3 linked regions of the Schizosaccharomyces pombe genome follow. The protein of the gene in region 3 interacts with the protein of the main gene of each other region in a pairwise test. Each region holds a gene or a part of one and is shown on either strand. Other genes may lie near its edges.

What was found.
Region 1: the proteins of ibp1 (region 3) and mdv1 interact in a two-hybrid assay, tested with the Schizosaccharomyces pombe proteins (2 studies listed by BioGRID).
Region 2: the proteins of ibp1 (region 3) and atg11 interact in a two-hybrid assay, tested with the Schizosaccharomyces pombe proteins (2 studies listed by BioGRID).

Annotation. Positions count from the first base shown.
Region 1 is NC_003424.3:1,732,275-1,738,842, reverse strand, and holds mdv1 (CCR4-Not complex subunit Caf4/Mdv1), read right to left. Parts: upstream 4,249-6,568; 5' UTR 3,851-4,248; coding exon 1,895-3,850; 3' UTR 1,536-1,894; downstream 1-1,535. Other genes in the region: calcium/calmodulin-dependent protein kinase Cmk1, read left to right, coding at 1-21, 89-179, 252-582, 645-1,011; plasma membrane ammonium transmembrane transporter Amt2, read right to left, coding at 5,678-6,568.
Region 2 is NC_003424.3:2,628,913-2,635,744, forward strand, and holds atg11 (autophagy associated protein kinase regulator Atg11), read right to left. Parts: upstream 4,640-6,832; 5' UTR 4,458-4,639; coding exon 1,677-4,457; 3' UTR 1,536-1,676; downstream 1-1,535. Other genes in the region: SPOM_SPAC7D4.05 (hydrolase), read right to left, coding at 461-907, 997-1,073, 1,109-1,271; protein ahk1, read left to right, coding at 5,299-6,832. UniProt on the Schizosaccharomyces pombe protein: Involved in cytoplasm to vacuole transport (Cvt), pexophagy, mitophagy and nucleophagy. Recruits mitochondria for their selective degradation via autophagy (mitophagy) during starvation.
Region 3 is NC_003423.3:609,618-614,392, forward strand, and holds ibp1 (Cdc25 family phosphatase Ibp1 ), read left to right. Parts: upstream 1-2,801; 5' UTR 2,802-3,052; coding exon 3,053-3,469; 3' UTR 3,470-3,702; downstream 3,703-4,775. Other genes in the region: P-type calcium transport ATPase Cta3, read left to right, coding at 1-1,667; its8 (pig-N family GPI synthesis protein), read right to left, coding at 3,890-4,775. UniProt on the Schizosaccharomyces pombe protein: May play a role in DNA replication checkpoint via regulation of hsk1 or may act downstream of hsk1 in an S phase regulatory pathway.

The DNA of each region.
Region 1 (6,568 bases), on a different chromosome or scaffold from region 3:
ATGGAGAAGAAACAAGACTTTGTAAGTAAAGACTTAAGTACTTACAGCATCCTTATTTACGTTTACTAACATGTTTTTGGTGGTATAGGTGAAGAATGAAATTGCAATTCTAAAACGTGTTTCTTATGAACATCCTAATATCTTACACTTGGTTGATTTTTTTGAAACTGTGAATAATCGTATGTCTCCGATTTCGATTTGATGAATCAAATGTTATTGTGATGTGTTTTGTTCACTAACCCTTGAAACAGTGTACTTAATCACTGAACTGGCCACCGGTGGTGAACTTTTTGATAGAATATGTGCCAAAGGTTCATTTTATGAGGCCGATGCTGCTGCTTTAATGCGTACTACCACATCAGCAGTTAAGTACTTGCATGACAATGGAATTGTACATCGAGATTTGAAGCCAGAAAATTTACTTTATCGCTCTAAAGATCCGAATTCAGATTTGTTAATTGCCGATTTTGGATTGTCCCACTTTTATGAGGATTCTCAATACTATATGCTCATGACGGCATGTGGGACACCAGAGTACATGGCACCCGAAGTCTTTCGTCGAACCGGATATGGAAAACCTGTGTAAGTTGATCAACTACCATTTTAATTCAGAAGTTATGTATCTTGACTAATACTGTTTATAGAGATATGTGGGCTATTGGCGTTATAACTTATTTTTTACTCAGTGGTTATACTCCATTTGCTCGACCTTCTCAGGTTGAAGTTATAGAAGCAATTTTAGCTAACGAGTACACTTTTAACGATCCTTGCTGGTCTGGCATTTCAGAAACGGCCAAGGACTTTATTAAAAAATGTTTGGAAAACGACCCTTCGAAACGTTTAACTGCTGCTGATGCGTTGAAGCACCCCTTCCTGTCTGAAAAGCGTCCCGCAACCTCCAATTTGCTTCCAAACGTCCGGGAAAATTTCAATGCAAGAAAAACGTTCCGTACTGCCTATAACGCTGTACGTGCTTTCAACACTTGGAAAAAGCTTGAGAATAAGCATTAATTATACACATCTTTTCTTATAACTTTCTTATTTTATCTTGTTATGACTTATGACTTCTTTATTATCTTTTGCCCTCAGTACATACTTTTTTGGTATTAACACTCTTACATGTTAAATATATTCTTTGTGATTTGGAATGCTTGGACCTATCATGTTCTCTACTTAGTTTTTAAAATAGCCTCATACAAAATGCTAAAAGTTATGTCGATGTTTTAAAAAGTAACGCTACCAGTTTTCTGACATTGTTAGACTGTTGACGACAGATGAACGCAGTTGTTTAATTCTCTATATATATTGCAGATGTAAAATTTTGAAATTTTAGCATTTATGACTATTTATGCTTCAAAAATAAAATGACCATTCAGTTAATCTGAAATATAAAAAGAGCTTGGTTATTTCCATATTTTACTCACTGTGTGAGTTCAAATTGCTAATTTCAAAAAGATTCTTCAATACTTATTATGTGTAGTTGACATTAAACACGCTGAGCGTGTTTTGTAAACTGGATCAACAAAATGAAATACAACATCTCAGATCAGAATGAGGTTGCGTACTTCATACTAGTAAAACCAAAAAAATGTAAACTAGAAAAGATTTTTATTTACTAAATTTTAAACCTACAGTATAAGAAGCAGAAGGGAGGTGGTGATCAAACAATTTGCTTTGAGAATTTTTTTAAATATTTTGAACAAAATTAACATCACAGTTTTTTATTCGCAATGTCTCGTTCCTTTTTATTTGTCCATAAATAAATAAAAAAACCAAACAGAAGTTAATACCCATTAACCAAAGCATAAAGACATAAAATTTTAAAATTAACGTTATCCAGATTCAACACAATAACGAGAGTATAATAAATAAAGGTGTGGATAAAAAATACAAATTAAGCAGAAAAAACGCTAACAGATCCATCAGACTTTCCATCCACCAAAAAGCGATCTTTATATTGAACAGAAGTAGGTACTGAGTTAGGTTCGGCTGCTATGGAATCAGAGTGAGAAGGAATTGAACAAATCCAGTTCCGATTAGATACAGTATCAAATATCCTAACATTTGGTTCATCAGATGCTACAGCAAGACGACCTTGATACAGTCTTAAGGAATTCACTTTTTTCTCCATAGGTATAATATTAATTGGCGAGCCACTTCGTAAATCCCATATTCTAACAGAATTGTCATAGCTTCCGGAATACAAATGGTTGGAATCGAATTGCAAAGAAGAAATAGGAGCTGTGTGCCCAATGAAACTTCTCACAGGAAGACCGATTCGCAAATCCCAGATGCGAATAAGTCCATCGACAGTCCCACTAGCCACAGCAGCATCTAAGCAGTCTAAAGCTCTGATGAAAGGTTCTTGTTTGTAAGTGTCACTGACCAAAATTTGACTAGTAGATGTATCATGAGTTTCCGCCCACACAAAGTCCAAAGTTTGAATACAACGCCCCGTAACGATATCCCACTGTCGAACAGTTTTATCATCGGCACCGGTTATAAGCACATCATCACTAGATAATGCTAATGCAGTGACAGGGGCAGTGTGAGATGTTAAAACATTTGTGGCATTGTCAACAGGTTGATCGGGAGGAGAATTAAGGCTCTCTTCAACAGGATTATCCTTATGAAGTACATCATTATCTAAATTCCATAACCGCACGGTTGTATCCATAGAGCCAGTAGCAATAAAGGAGTCTTGAATCGCCAGACAAGAAACATAATCAGAATGACCTTTCAATGAACCCAGGTATACAACACCCGCCATATCCCAAACTTTCACAGTTTTGTCAGTCGAGGCCGTAGCTAAAGTTCCAAAAGGATGGGAAAAATCAAGACTCGTAATATATTCAGAATGAGCTTGAAACTGCTTTACGAGATTTCCAACTATATAATTTTGATTCACAGATGATTCAGTATTCTCTGGTGCTTTAGAAAAAGCGGAATTCTGTTCAAAGTAATCTGATACCACTTCACTAGCCGTAGATGGCCTTGGAGCTCTTGGAGAGATAGCCCTAGCAGATAAATTATCTGTATACTTGTCGTGTGTATCATCAAAAACATCGGGGTTAGCTCCATTTTTACCCGCTTCAATTTGTGAAGGAATTAAATCATGAGAATATGAGCTATACAAATCTTGAGCATCCGAATCTAACATCAGTTTCTCAACAGAAGCCAGCTTGGAAGTATACTTTAAATTCTGTTCCTCGATCTTGCTAAGGCGTTCAAGAACTTGCCTTCTTCGAGAATAGAGTTTGGACAACTCCAAATCAATCTGTGCAAGTTCGCTAGAATTAATGAGCTTTTGAAGACGAAGTTGATTGCATTTCTTCACCAATTTTTCGTGTTGTAAGCTATCGGGCTTAAATTCAGAAGAGTCGGAAACCATTGACACATCAATCGATGATACATTTTTTTTGCCTTCCTTTTGGTTGGAGCTTGTTATCGGCAAAGGTGAAGTGTCGGAATGATCGTGAGCAGTGACTGAGTAACCTTCAAGCAAACTATAAGACGTTTCTTGATGGTCCGGAATATCAAACAAAAGAGGATCGGGCAATGTTTGAGCTTGAACTGGATCAACACCGTTATGTGATAAAAACCATTCATTAAATTGGGATTTGGATAAACGATGGCGTAAAAAAGGATGAGAAAGGCCACGCACGAACAGAGATATGGGATTTCTTTGAGGTGTAACTGGACTAGAATCGAAGAAATTCCACGTTGTATAAGCTATGGCTTTAGTCCAATAAAAAACATCTTTTCTTAAACCTTTCGAAATAGTGGGAGTTAACGAATCATTTGGAATTTTTTGTGAAGAATCTTTGCTCTTTGAATTATTATCAGTCATAAAACGAAAAAAGCCAACAATTAGAAGAAAAGCTAGTGAACTTTAATACTTTAAGGAATTAAAATAATGAGGTAAAGGGTTCAGATCTCCCAAACGTAAAAGCGGTTAAAAAAGGTGGCTTTACGGAGATAAATGATATATCCAGATGAAGGCCTTAAAAAAGAAAGCAATTTTTAGATGAGTTGAGAAATAAAATCTTTTCAATCGACGCTACGTGTAAGGTATAAGAAGTTCAATAAGAGTATGATTCCCGCACGTACTTTTACAAAACAAAAACCAATGGGAATTAAGCAAACAACTAAAATTTGTAGTAAATGTCCAGCTCTTTTAATCTCAGCTTGTATTTGATAAAAATCAAGAGACAATTGAATATACAAGCTTTTTTGTCACTGGTGTGTGGAAGAAGGAAGGAAAAAGCAACGTAAGTACTAGAGGGATGAGCGAATCCAATGGCGGTAGAGAAAGTAGAAATGGAATATGTAGGTCAAAAATGAAAGAGAAGTAGAAAAAAAAAATCCATACTATGAATAAAGTTATTACTTCAACTGTTTGGCACTTGTAAGAAATTATCCTCATCGAATTTATCTTATTAGCACTATAAATAAATTCACACAATTTACTGAAACAAGAGTACCAAAGTTCATAAAAATTATAAATTATATATCTTACTATAGACTGCTAATTTTACTGGCCCTTCAAACCCTCTTACAGTTTTATTGAATATATATATAAATTGACATCTTAACAGTAATGCAATAAAATAAATAAAACATTTAGTAAAGCGGAATGATGGTTCAGACATTACATATTATTTTTGTAATAATGAGTAGAATAACTCAACATGTTTCTTTCTTGAATTTTATATTTTTTTAACCTTTACTTTAATTTGATTTGTTATTTTTATTAAAAAATTAAAAAAATTCATAGGAACTCATCATCTATTGCCTAATTTAAGACTCAAAGACTCTTCTTTATTCAAAACTGAATATTATTTAAATACATATAAAATATACATATATGGATACAAGAGATTCGCTAATTATCAATTTCAATCGCCAAGTTTATATAGAAATTTCATATTCAATATTCTCATTAAAAATACGTTCTAAAAGTAATTAGATATAAACTACTAAGTTTAACCCCATTCAACCAAGTCCCGTTTAGCTCAATCGGCTTAGAGCGTCCGGCTTTTAACCGGAAGGTTGCGAGTTCGAGTCTCGCAGTGGGAGTTTACTTTTTATTTTTTGTTTCGATGCAGTAGTGAGGTTTTCACTTCCGGTAAATTCGTAAACAGTAAATAGTTATTAAAGCCTAATTCGACGTACTTTTTTGTACCTATTCATTGGTTTCATGGTGAATGATGATTATACAAAATACAAACTTATTATGACTGGAAACAAAGATTGACTTGCTCATTTTAAATCTTTTGGCTTATAAGATAATTAATTCTCTTCATATTTGGATACACAAATTACAAACCAAATTCGCATAAAAATATTTTCATTACAATTATTAGTCTTGCCTTTAAACCGAATTCATTTTAAATGCTGTTAACAAAAAAAAAACCTTAAAATTATAATTTAAGATTCTGACCTCTTTAGAAGTAAAAACAAGCAAATCTTTCAAGAAATTTCTAGTCTTTGTAATTTTGTTCAAAACTTCCCAAACAGCGACCTTGTAGTTGTGCTATTTTCTTTTTTTCTTTAAACAATCATAAACCAATCTACCAAAATTTTCATTTCTTTTATTAACTTAAAATCTTTTCTCCAATTCAACCTTTTACTTTTTTTTTTTAAACCCAAATAACTTTGTACGATGCAAAAAGATTTAGATCGTAAGTCCAAGCTCCAATGGGTTTGTTGATTCTAGAATCTTGCCGGGAGCAGCCACATTTCCAGTAGGTTGAGCAACGCCATTGGAAATAATGATTTCTTCAGGTACACCGGCAGGGGAAATCTTCCAATGCTTATATTCACGACGTTCTTCAATATAATCAAACGCGTATTCACCTATTTGATCAGCATCCACACCAATTTCTTCAGCATCAGGGCTCACTCGAAGTTGAAGGTAGGGAATTTTGTCCGTAATGAATAAAATGATAAACGTGACAACAAAGTCGTATGCACCAACAGCACAAATATAGGCCATTTGCAAGCCTAGTTGGCGCCAATGGTGATCAAACCAACCACCTCTGATTTTGTTTTCACCAACATAAATACCATCCATTGCTGCGATATAATCAACGGCAAACAAACCATTCAAAAAGGTACCCACAAAACCCGCAACACCGTGGATAGCGAAAATATCCATCGCATCATCAATGCGCATATGTGACTTTAACTTAATGGCCCAATTGCAACATAAGCCAGTAATAGCACCAATTGCCAAAGAGGCATGAGGACTCACAAAACCAGCACAAGGCGTTGCAGCCACCAAACCGGCAACAACCCCGGAACAAAAACCTATGGTTGACCATTTCCTAGTGCGAAAAATGTAGTCGTAAATAACCCATACTAAACCAGCTACAGCACCTGCTAAGTTTGTGTTGGTGATTGCCATAGCGGCTCGCAGATTGGAGCCGTAAGCACTACCACCGTTGAAACCAAGCCAACCAAACCATAGCAGAGATGTTCCCAATACAACATTGAGCACAGAATGAGGGCGAAATTGTTCCTCAACAAATTTGGATCGACGTCCTAAACAAACCGTATACGCCAA
Region 2 (6,832 bases), on a different chromosome or scaffold from region 3:
TAGCATGGATGCTAGACTTGGAATAACGCGACTAGAATGGTCATTCAAATTAGAAAATAAAAAGGATTGCTATTGCGTTTATCGGCATATTCTTCATTTTTTAAATTTTCGTTAGCATGCATATGCATTAGCCATTTCATGTTCATGTCTTTTCGGAATATTCATTGTTTACTTATTTGCGCCCTTGTATAATGAAAACAACAATAGATCAATCTCTAAAAAATTAAAAGGATCACATAAATATAATTTTTCTTCAATGTCAAAAGCTAGTACACAAAGGAACAACAGAGCTTTGTTGAAAATATAATCAATTTATACATTTATTAGAATTCTGACGAAATATTCATTTATAAGAAAAAATTATCATTTCAAATGTGAAACCTTTATTGTCACATTAGGTCCTTGAAGAAGGGGTCCAGATATGAATGTTGGATACGCGGTAAACCTGACTGCGTTTATTTTACTTCTGTTCAAAATATTTCAGGAAATTGGTTTTTATGTCACAGTATTCAGCATTCCATTGGATGTTTCTTGCTGCTGAAACATCTTTTATTAAATCATCCCCTAGGTGCATACATTCTTCTGGTTGAATCTCCTGTCCAAGAAGTTTAACAGCCTTTTCCATAGCATAATCAAATATTTCCCTGCTTGGTTTTTCAAATCCAACGTCGTACGAAAACGCATATATATCTATTAGATGATCTATGCCGTAATCTTCAAGCACTGTACGAATTCTTTCGTCTGTGTTTGAAATAATACCAATAATGTATTTCCTCTCTTCTTTATTTCTCTTAAGGAAATCAATCAGAAGAGGATGAATCGTGTAACCCGTCTTTTTGGAAAAGTAACTCCATAGCTCTTCAGCCATTTCTGCAGGAACAGGAGTTGGAAAAGAATGTTCGATAACCTAAAATTGTTAGCATGTAAAGGTTTTTTAGAAATCAAGAGATTCAATTCTTTACAAAACACAAATCTCAATGAAATTCAGACACATACTTTGATCCACCAGTCATGAGGATTTAATCCTGACTTTTTTCCATGATTCTTATGCTTTTCACTGAAATCCTTGAATGCTAAATTATTAGATAAATAGAAACCAAAAGCTAACCTTTATTACTATTGTGTTCAATTTCATCAATAGTTGCATGAACTCCATACTTCTGAGCGACTTCGCTGTACACAATTGGAACAGGTTTACTTAAATGAAGGATTGTTCCAAAAGCATCGAACGTAACCAACTTGATCTTTTGGATATTTTTTGAGGGAATCATAATTCCAGGTTGTACTTTGATGGGACACACTACACAAAGCAATTTACATAAGGTACTCCTTACCACCAGTGCGTTGTTCGGTGTGATAAATAATATTTGCAAATCACTTTTATTGCGAGCGATTGCGTTCTACATATTAAATAATATACGAATAGATTAAAAGTTCATTAAAAATTTATCATGTTACAAGACGAGAGACACGCTACAGCAATAGTAGTCGTTAATTTACGTCGGATACCTTACTAGGCGAGACCAAAAAACAAATTTCAGTAAATAATGCCATAACAGATCAAAACCTGAAAAAATAGAAGTATGATAATACCAAATGTCTGTCATATAGAATCAGTCCCACAAATACAAGCAAAGAAAAAGCAAGTGAAGGTATAAGCTAGGTCACATAATGATTTAAAATCTTTCATCGATAGCTTCCACTAAATGCCATATTGTACCTGAAGGCAGGCGAAGCCATTTATCCGTCGAATCATCAGCAGTACGATCTTCAATGGAAGTTACCCTTCCTAACATCCAGTCGCGGCTTTCAAGTTTCAAATGCGGTTGAGTGTTCAAATAATAATGAGGAGCGTTAACATTAAAAGCCGCCCACACCTTTTTGTTACCGGCGGTACGTCGAGTAGGCAAAAACAAGACCAAGGATCCTTGTTTGAAATTCCTTAATGAGACTTTACTTTGAGAGTCCAAAATAGCTTTCAGCGCCTTGTCCCTGTTAGATTGAAATTCACGTTTCCAACGAAGTTCATGATTATGTGCTTGAGTCAAAACACTGACAACAAAGTTATGGAAAGAGTCAAAATCTAAAGAACTCATTCTGTTCAAAAATTCCTGGAAATTCCTATCAGCATCCTCCCCATCCATCCAATAAAGATACTGTAAATCTTTGGAATTAAATTCAATTTGGCGATCTGGAATCGATGCATGGCCATCTCTTTCGTTATCTGAATCAAATCCAGGCTGAGTAACGCATTCCCGAAGAACAGACTGTAACTCATTACACCGGAATACAATGGTATAAAGTTTCTGAGTTAATATCTTACATTGTTCTTTTCGATTCTCGGAAAGTTTGAGTAAATCAGCTTTCTCTGCAAGAGCATAATCTCTCTCTTCAATAATATGTTGTACTGCTTCGGCATCTTTTGCAAGAGTAGCGTATTCGCCCTTTTGCTTCAAACTCGTGAGTTGAAGCTTGAAAGCATTATAAAGTTCTTGCAAGCTATCAACTTTGCCCTCAAATACGGAGTAAAGGTTTAATATGTTCGGTTCATTAGAATGCATCTCCTCGTTTGATTGCTGTTCTGCAACTGCCGCTTCATTTTTCGTAAGCAGTTTCCGTGTTGATGAAAGTTCCTCCTGTAAATTTTCGTATTTTTGTAGCACTTCCTCATTTTCAGTTTCGAGGTATTGGATCTTTTCTTCCTTCCCTTGAAGCTCAATTAATAAGTCCTCATTTCTTTTATTTACCAAATCTAATTCGTTGCGTAATTGATTAACCTCATCTTGAAGTCGTAATATGTGGCTGTCGGTAAAAGAAGTTTTGCGATTAGTTAATTTACGAATTACGTTTAGAGGCACAATACTAGGGGAAACACGGTAAAATGGCTGAGAAGAATTAGACTGCTCATTGATGGGTGGATGTGGAGCATTTGGAGATAAACCATCATTGTTAATGTTATAATTAAAGCCGTTTTGATGGCTTAACATTGCCTCTAAATTATTGCAACGATTTTGATACATTGCCAATTTTTCATGTAATGAATTGTTCGCTTGAACCGTATTGGAAACGGCTTCTCGAGGACTTCCAGGAAAGCCCAAATATTCTGAGAGCCGATTGCTTAGCATTTGATGAAAAGTTTGGTAATTCGGATGTGCTTGAATATTGAGTAAATAATTAGAAATTTCGTCACGAGTTAAAACTGGTAAGTACTTTAGCTGGCCATGATTAAAAAGCAAATTAGAGAAATGACTGAGCCAAGACTTCCTAAGAGAAAGCTCCTTCTCCTGGTCTAAAGGAAGAGAACTATCATGGCTTACATTGTATGATTCCTGCCATTCAGTCCTCCTCAGTGCCTCCATTAAAATGTCGATATATAGCGAAAAAATGTTTCGAGACTGAGAAAGAACGAATTTGCTTCTGTCAAGCTCTTCTGCTATTTGTCGAAGATATTCGTACAATGCATCATATCTAAGAGAAACCTTATAAAAGGAAAGCCAAAAAGATTTCAAAGATATTAGTGATGACTTTCTAGAACTTTTTAATTCCGACAGATTACTTTGAAGTTTTTCCATGCAATCAGTAATTTCGGTTTCGTAATTACATTTTGGTTTGATTTGAGAAGTAGTTGAAGTTGACTCTATTTTAAGGATCTCTTGCAATATATTGGCTGCATCCTGAGCGACGGAACGTAGATGATAATAAGCATCATCTCCTTCCTTGATTGAAGGAACTTCCTTGAATGGGGAAACGATAATACTATTTGCGGCGCCAATGCACTGTTGGACTCGTTTTTGAGCTTCAGCATAACGAGCTGAAATGGAGTTTAACCAGGAGTCCAATTTAGTCCAATTTGTTGAAAGTATTTTAAGAGGAGTAATGGGTAAAGAACCAGTTGGTAGAGCGAGGAAATCATGAAGTAAATCAGACACAGATACTCGATCTAGTCTTTCGTAGAAAACGAAAAGTAAATCTTTCATACCAGATTGTCTTCTTTGTAAATAATTCATTGCAACTTCTGGAGAAACAATACTAGTAGAATACTCATCATGGCATACGCTTAATTGATTATGAATCTTTGAAGAAGACTCTAAAATATCAGATAATAATGAAAGACACTTGCTGATTTTATCTTTCCATTGATCTGAAGAAGAATCAGCTATAATCCCAGTAAGTACATTAGATATTGGTTGTCCTTTCAGAGAAGGAATAGAAGGAATTTTATCACCATCGTAGGTGAAAGTCAACAAGTTTTGATCTAGTACGTAAATAACCACATCACTTTCACTATTTAGTACGGTTTCATTCAAAGACATTCCGTTCGGCAATAATAGTTTTGCTTCATCACTAAGTCCAATATTGAGCTCCATAATCCAAGCTACAAGATTTTGGGGAGTCCATTGTACATTATCTATGGTCCAACTCTTTCCGGAGAATGAATCATTCAATCGAAAACGCATACTGACCTATTGTATTGCTTAACTTTATCATTCGCGATTCCCCAACATTAAACTTGAAATATTTGATCTAAAAGAAAACTCAATATCAGTTATTTATAATCCGTTGCATATAGTTATTCTCTGTCCTTATATTCCGTTTTGTTTGGTAAGTTGGCGGGTTCTATTTGGTTTAGGCGATTGTTGGGTACTAACTACCAAAAGGAGATTGGCATTGTATGAACACTGAGTTGAAGCTGTAAGACAATACAGCTTAAAATTTCAAATGTCTTTTCATTTAGCTTAAAAAAACAATTTTAATTATTGGTTTTATTATGTTTGTCTACTGAAATATATGTCATATGTAGCCGTATACCCTCAAGCTGGTGGGTTCGGAAACTCAGCCTTAACCAAGCATCTACACTGGGTGTGAACGAAAGTGTTGGGGATGCTAATTTACATTGCGGATTTCATATATTTAATTTAAAGATATCTTCTACTTGTTTACTTTTCATTCTTTTAGAATACAAGTATTCTAAACTCGGAAGTATTTTTCTTGTTTTTTTAACCGCGAATCTTTTGGTTACCGATTTCTCTGTCTTTTATCGATAAAGTTTTTAAAAAATTAAAAAAGTCAAAATTTCTCTACTGTAGGAAAAACTTTTGAGCATCTTTTAGCATATTTGGTACATTTTTTTCTGGCATTTGCATAGCTTGTCCTTTAAATCTTCATTTCTTTATTAGTGGTGATTGCACGGCTCATGTTAATTAATTTGGTTTTAATCTAGGGATTAATTATATTCTTTTTATTTGCATTTCACACTTATTCTTTTCTTTACATTTAGCTTCATTTCTGAAATTCTGAATGGGTGACTTTCAATCACGATATGAGATCCTTGCCGCTATTATGGGTCCTCCCAATACAGCCTCCTTTAAAGAGGAAGAGCATTCGGGTTCCCAAACAAAAAACTATCCTGTTGTGGTAAAATGTATTCAGGAACATGATCCCGTCGATACAACCAATGTGCTTGTAGCTGACGACCTTGATTCGAACTTTGAACCATTTTCGATTACAGATGATTATGGTAAATATGAAAACACTTTAGTAAGCCATTCCTCAACAATCTTAAATGAGCCTTACAACGAATCACCCTCATCATCATCTTCTGATTCCTCTTCTCGTTCTACCTCTCCTTTTTCTCAGTTGTCTTCTCAAAGCCTACGCCTTAATGCGGAGGAGATAGCGCCTTCTAGCTTAATAAATAAGGCCGTCCAATCTACCTTACGTCTTTCGGAGCCACTGGTTTCTCCAATAAAGTGTCCTTTATCCGAGCAATTCATCAATTTTATTAATCAGCAGGATTCTGATAAGGTAGTTCTTATAAGAGGGTTTTTATTACCACATTTGGCTTCTTTAACCACTAAAAACGTTTCCGAACCGGAATTGGATAAACTTAGGCATTCTTTGTATAACTGGTGGGTATCCATTCTTCGACGTTTACAATCTAATATTTCTACTTCAGAACGTATCACATATACAAAGGCCATACTTGCTATCGCCAAGCATCATTGTTGGAACAAAGTGGAACACTCTGCTTTATTGTACTTGGAACACCAATTAATACTTTACGATACATTGACATTTGTAGTTCATCTGCTTTCTCAAAAGTCCTTGCCGTATTCATTAACGACATTTTGTGCGAGTATCTTGGTTCTCTCCTTTTTTCAACTTCCACTTTTTGCCGACCATTTCTTGAGCGCATTAGATGTAAAGAAAAAGTACATTGATGCTTTGGGCTCATCCTTCGACGAAAAAATAATGATTATTTCACATAAGTATCTTGCGCCATTTTTTACTGACCAATTTTCCTCGACTATGCATCCGTATTACCCAAAACGAACTTCAACGCCTTTTACTATAGGTTACAATAGGCAGCCTATTGAATTCACACGAGCATGGATGCGTCGCTTTAAGTCTTCTACAGGTGGATTCTTTTTCGAGTTTTTATCATGCTATCATTCTTTTTTAGCTTTGCAATTCTCTTTCGAATTACCTGATAATGTCATATATTTCGCTCCAGGTTACATATGCTTACATGCTTATCTTCTTGAATTAACCATTTCGGTTATACATATTAGCGACAAAAAGCCATTAATGTTACCTACAGGACATGAGCAGTTTCCATGTAAGACTTTACCAGAAGTAAATCCATCAATGGAAGAATACAATCCTAAGATGCCTGTAACTGCCACGACTTTATCGACTCTTCAACAGTTTGTCGGACATATTAAAGATGCTTTTAAAAAGATTGGGGATTGCAGACAAGAGCAGATGCGTTTATTAGCCGTTTTAGAGCAAGTTTTAATTAATGTTGCCAAAAACACCCCTGCTTTTAATC
Region 3 (4,775 bases):
AAGATTTGCTAAAGACGAATACTTTCGTTCGTGAATATCCATTTGACTCGGAAATTAAGCGTATGGCTGTTATATATGAAGACCAACAGGGTCAGTACACCGTGTACGCCAAAGGTGCTGTTGAAAGGATTTTGGAAAGATGTTCTACTTCAAACGGATCTACGCTGGAAGAACCCGATCGTGAATTAATAATAGCACAAATGGAAACACTTGCAGCAGAAGGTTTGCGCGTCTTAGCTCTAGCAACGAAGGTTATAGACAAGGCAGACAATTGGGAAACATTGCCGAGAGATGTAGCCGAGTCTTCTCTAGAGTTTGTATCTCTTGTAGGTATTTACGATCCCCCAAGAACTGAATCGAAAGGTGCAGTGGAACTTTGCCATCGCGCAGGTATTCGAGTCCACATGCTTACTGGAGATCATCCGGAAACCGCAAAAGCTATTGCAAGAGAAGTTGGAATTATACCTCCATTTATCTCTGATCGAGATCCTAATATGTCATGGATGGTGATGACCGGTTCACAGTTTGATGCTCTTAGTGATGAAGAAGTTGATTCATTGAAAGCTCTTTGTCTAGTTATTGCTCGCTGTGCTCCTCAGACAAAGGTGAAAATGATTGAAGCCTTGCATAGAAGAAAGGCGTTTGTAGCGATGACAGGTGATGGCGTTAACGATTCTCCATCTTTGAAGCAAGCTAACGTAGGAATCGCAATGGGTCAAAACGGAAGTGATGTAGCCAAAGATGCTAGTGATATTGTTTTAACGGACGACAATTTCTCGTCCATTGTCAATGCCATTGAAGAAGGACGCCGTATGTTTGATAACATCATGAGGTTTGTTCTGCACTTGCTTGTTTCAAACGTGGGCGAAGTAATACTCTTGGTGGTCGGCTTGGCCTTTAGAGACGAGGTTCATCTTTCCGTGTTCCCAATGTCTCCCGTAGAAATTCTTTGGTGTAATATGATTACCTCCTCTTTTCCTTCGATGGGACTGGGAATGGAGCTAGCTCAACCTGATGTAATGGAGCGTCTCCCTCACGACAACAAAGTTGGTATTTTCCAAAAGAGTCTAATTGTTGACATGATGGTGTATGGATTTTTCCTTGGAGTCGTTAGTCTTATGACTTGGGTTGTCATAATGTATGGATTCGGTACAGGCAATTTATCATATGATTGCAATGCCCACTATCATGCTGGATGCAACGATGTTTTCAAAGCACGGTCTGCTGTTTTTGCAGTTGTGACCTTTTGCATCCTTATTATGGCAGTCGAGGTGAAAAACTTTGACAACTCCCTATTCAACCTTCATGGGATTCCTTGGGGTGAATGGAACTTCCGTTATTTTCTCCATACGTTGGTTGAAAACAAATTCCTCGCTTGGGCCATTGCCCTTGCAGCTGTTTCGGTGTTTCCTACCATCTACATTCCTGTTATTAATAGAGACGTTTTCAAGCATACGTATATTGGATGGGAATGGGGAGTTGTTGCCGTTGCAGTGATGTTTTACTTTTTTTATGTCGAAATTTGGAAAAGCATTCGAAGAAGCTTGACCAATCCACAGAAAAAAGGAAAGTTTAGAAGAACGCTCAGTAATACGATTACCACTGAATCCAAATTGTCCGAAAAGGATTTAGAGCATCGTTTGTTTTTGCAGTCTCGAAGAGCCTAATGTTTTCTTGCCATGAATATGTATATGAATATGCGTGAGTGTATCGTTTTCACAGAACCGACAAATCGTAAAGGATTTATAATTTTTTTTTGATGATCGTGATTATACCGATCAATGACTTTAATTGGGAATTTGGGAAAATGTTGGTTGATTATAGTGTTTATTGTTTGTTTATGAAAAAGGCATATTAAAAAATAGTTTCACGAAAGGCAAAATCAAATGATCATATTGTTTACAATTATTGCATGCTCATATAAATCCTTTTTTTTCTTCTTCTTCTTCTTTTTTAATCGTTTAAAGACGTTTACTAATGAAAGACTTCTTTGCTGTGAATGGTAAATGGCAAGATCCTCTTTCATCTTCTGCTCTACTAATTAATTTTCTTCTCATTTTTATAATTACTTCCTTTTTATTTTGAGGAAAAGTTCCTTTAATCGCTTTTCTTGTTGATTTCCTTGTTTCATACTTTCTTTCATTTTTTCTATAATTTCTAGTCCGTTTTTTGTTAAGCTTCTTAAAGCAATAAAAAGACCAAAAAGAATAAATACAAGTCACTTTAGACTAATATCTTTAAATAATGTTGGCCGATCATTTCACGTCGCAACTAGCTATATATTTATTCACTTTAATCAATATGGCTTAACATAGCAAATTTAGAAGTAAAAAAATATCCCTTTTAATTTTTTTATTCTACAGGTAGTATATACAAATAATTAATGAGTTAGCTGTAAACACATTTCCTCGTTATCGCGATATAAAAATTTTCGATTAATCGGTTTAATTCATTAAGTCAATAGAGAATCTGTTGAAGAGAAAAGCGGATTCTACAAATGCCTCTTTATTCCAGCATTTTAAGAAAATAAAGAAGAAGATCTTGGTCGCAACGATGCCCATAAATTTGCGACATTCCTACTAGCCTTTTTTATTTACATTAACAAAACTGAACACAACCCCAAATGACAAACTCGGCCCTGAAATGCAAAGAAATAATTAAAAAAATAAAAAAAGAATAAAAGGAAACGACACCGATTATCTCATACATGTTCTCATGTTTGTGATTCCAAAATCTCAAAATCCAGTACTGGATGTAACGTACCACGCTACAGACTTCGTTCTGAGACATTGGCATCCTTGTTTTCTACCACTAATATATTTCAGTAGACGAGAAATACATACCTTGTAAACGGATACTATTAATAATACCAGACTATTTGATTTCCCTCTTTTAATCTTTACTTAAGCGAGTTTGTAGCTACTACTATTGTGTTTGGTGTTCTCTACTTTTCTAACTGAATTTTTTTTTCTACATAGCCGTTTGCTTCAATTCAGCTACTTGATAGTTGTTCATTTTGCTTTTAATTCACTTTTATAGCCTTTCGTAAACGATGTCTACTTTGTCTTATGTATCGCCTGATGCTTTAAAAGGCTGGTTAATGGAATCGCCTAACGAGATTAGCATAATCGATGTTCGTGACTACGATTACGAAGGAGAACGTATTCCTGGCAGTGTGCGTATTCCTTCCGACACTTTTCTCGCTAGTGTTGATCAGCATGTTGACGATCTCATGAAGAAGAGATCACTCATCGTCCATTGCACTTATTCTCAAGTTCGCGGTCCTAAAGCTGCCAGAGTACTTTCAGAAATTTTGAGAAACCGTATAACAGAAAGTAAGGAAAAGCTCTCTTTAAGCCAAAAAGAAAAGCTCTTTCAAAACCTTCCTACTGTTTACATCCTTCATGGTGGGTTTTCCGCATGGAAACGGCGGTATGGTGGTCAACAAGGTCTTATCGAGTATGATTAATTGATTGTGCTTGAAAAGTCCTTTGACTTCTTCCTTGTCACTCATATAAATCCTGCTTTAAACTTTTTTATTTGGTACGTTTTATCCCACTCCGGGTTCATACTTTGTGTTTTCGCAACACCATTCGTTTGATATAATCCTTACAATCTGTATGGATATAAACTACATCTCATAATCTCCAAGAACCTTAGTAGTAGTTTGCATGCCTACAATTATACAAACACATTTTCTTTAAAATAATCCTTCGTTTATCAGTGTTTTATACTTTTAATATTTACCTACTTCGTTAATAAGGTCATGTATAGACATTCTCATAATCGGTTTACCAATATATATTTATAAAGAATAAGTAAGGGAAGAAAAAAAGAGAGAACGATGCGATACTTCATCGAGTATCAGCTATCTTAATATTATCTAAATTTAATTAACTTTCTCATGAATAGTGTAGGTAATATTTTTGCAAAGAATCGCGCTTGCATGTTCCAGAGCAGTAATAAAAAGTATCAAAAAGTTGCTGATGCAAAAATGACTAATACTCACACCAATGTCCTTCCACGAGCCTTCGTCCTTTACTAAATAAAAAAAGTTAATTGTAACTATATCAGCCATTCCAACTGCCAAAAAGAAAGTAACTTGCTGAATCCCTCCCAGTCGTTTGTTCATTATTCCAAAAGCTGCCGAAAGTGCGATAAATGGAACCAGAATAGTGTACATTAAGAGTGCACCTTGTGTTACCGGATTGAATACAGGAATAAAACGTTTCACCGAATCCAAAGCGAATGTGGAAAGTGAAGCCACGTTTCCTGTACCAAAAAATGCGACGTTAATAAATATGTAGAAGAAAAGGGAAATGCGAATATGAGAAAGAGATAAATGGAATTTTGCATCTTTCTTTCTGCTATATTCGGGATGTAGTTGTTCCGTATATTTTTGAAGTTCTGTTTCTAGTTCCATCCATAATCCTAATGTTATAAATAAAACAACATAGAAGAGTGCTTCAAAAGAAATAGATAACATGCACATTGTAGGCGAAAATGTGAGAAACAAAATAGCCAGACGGTCAAGAAAATAGTGTTTACAAGACCGAATATGATGACTTGGAATGATGTACGACGTTATGAAAAGTCCAAATGCAACTAAACGTAAAATTGGTGGTATGGCAATATTCCTTTGCAGACTGTCTGCAATTTTAAGCGTAACAGGGACAGTTGCCATAATAATAAGAACTTGTAAAACCAATTGTTTGTTTGTGACCGTTGAGCTATATTGAAATGCTTGATTTCGTCGGTAAAGAATATAAAAAACC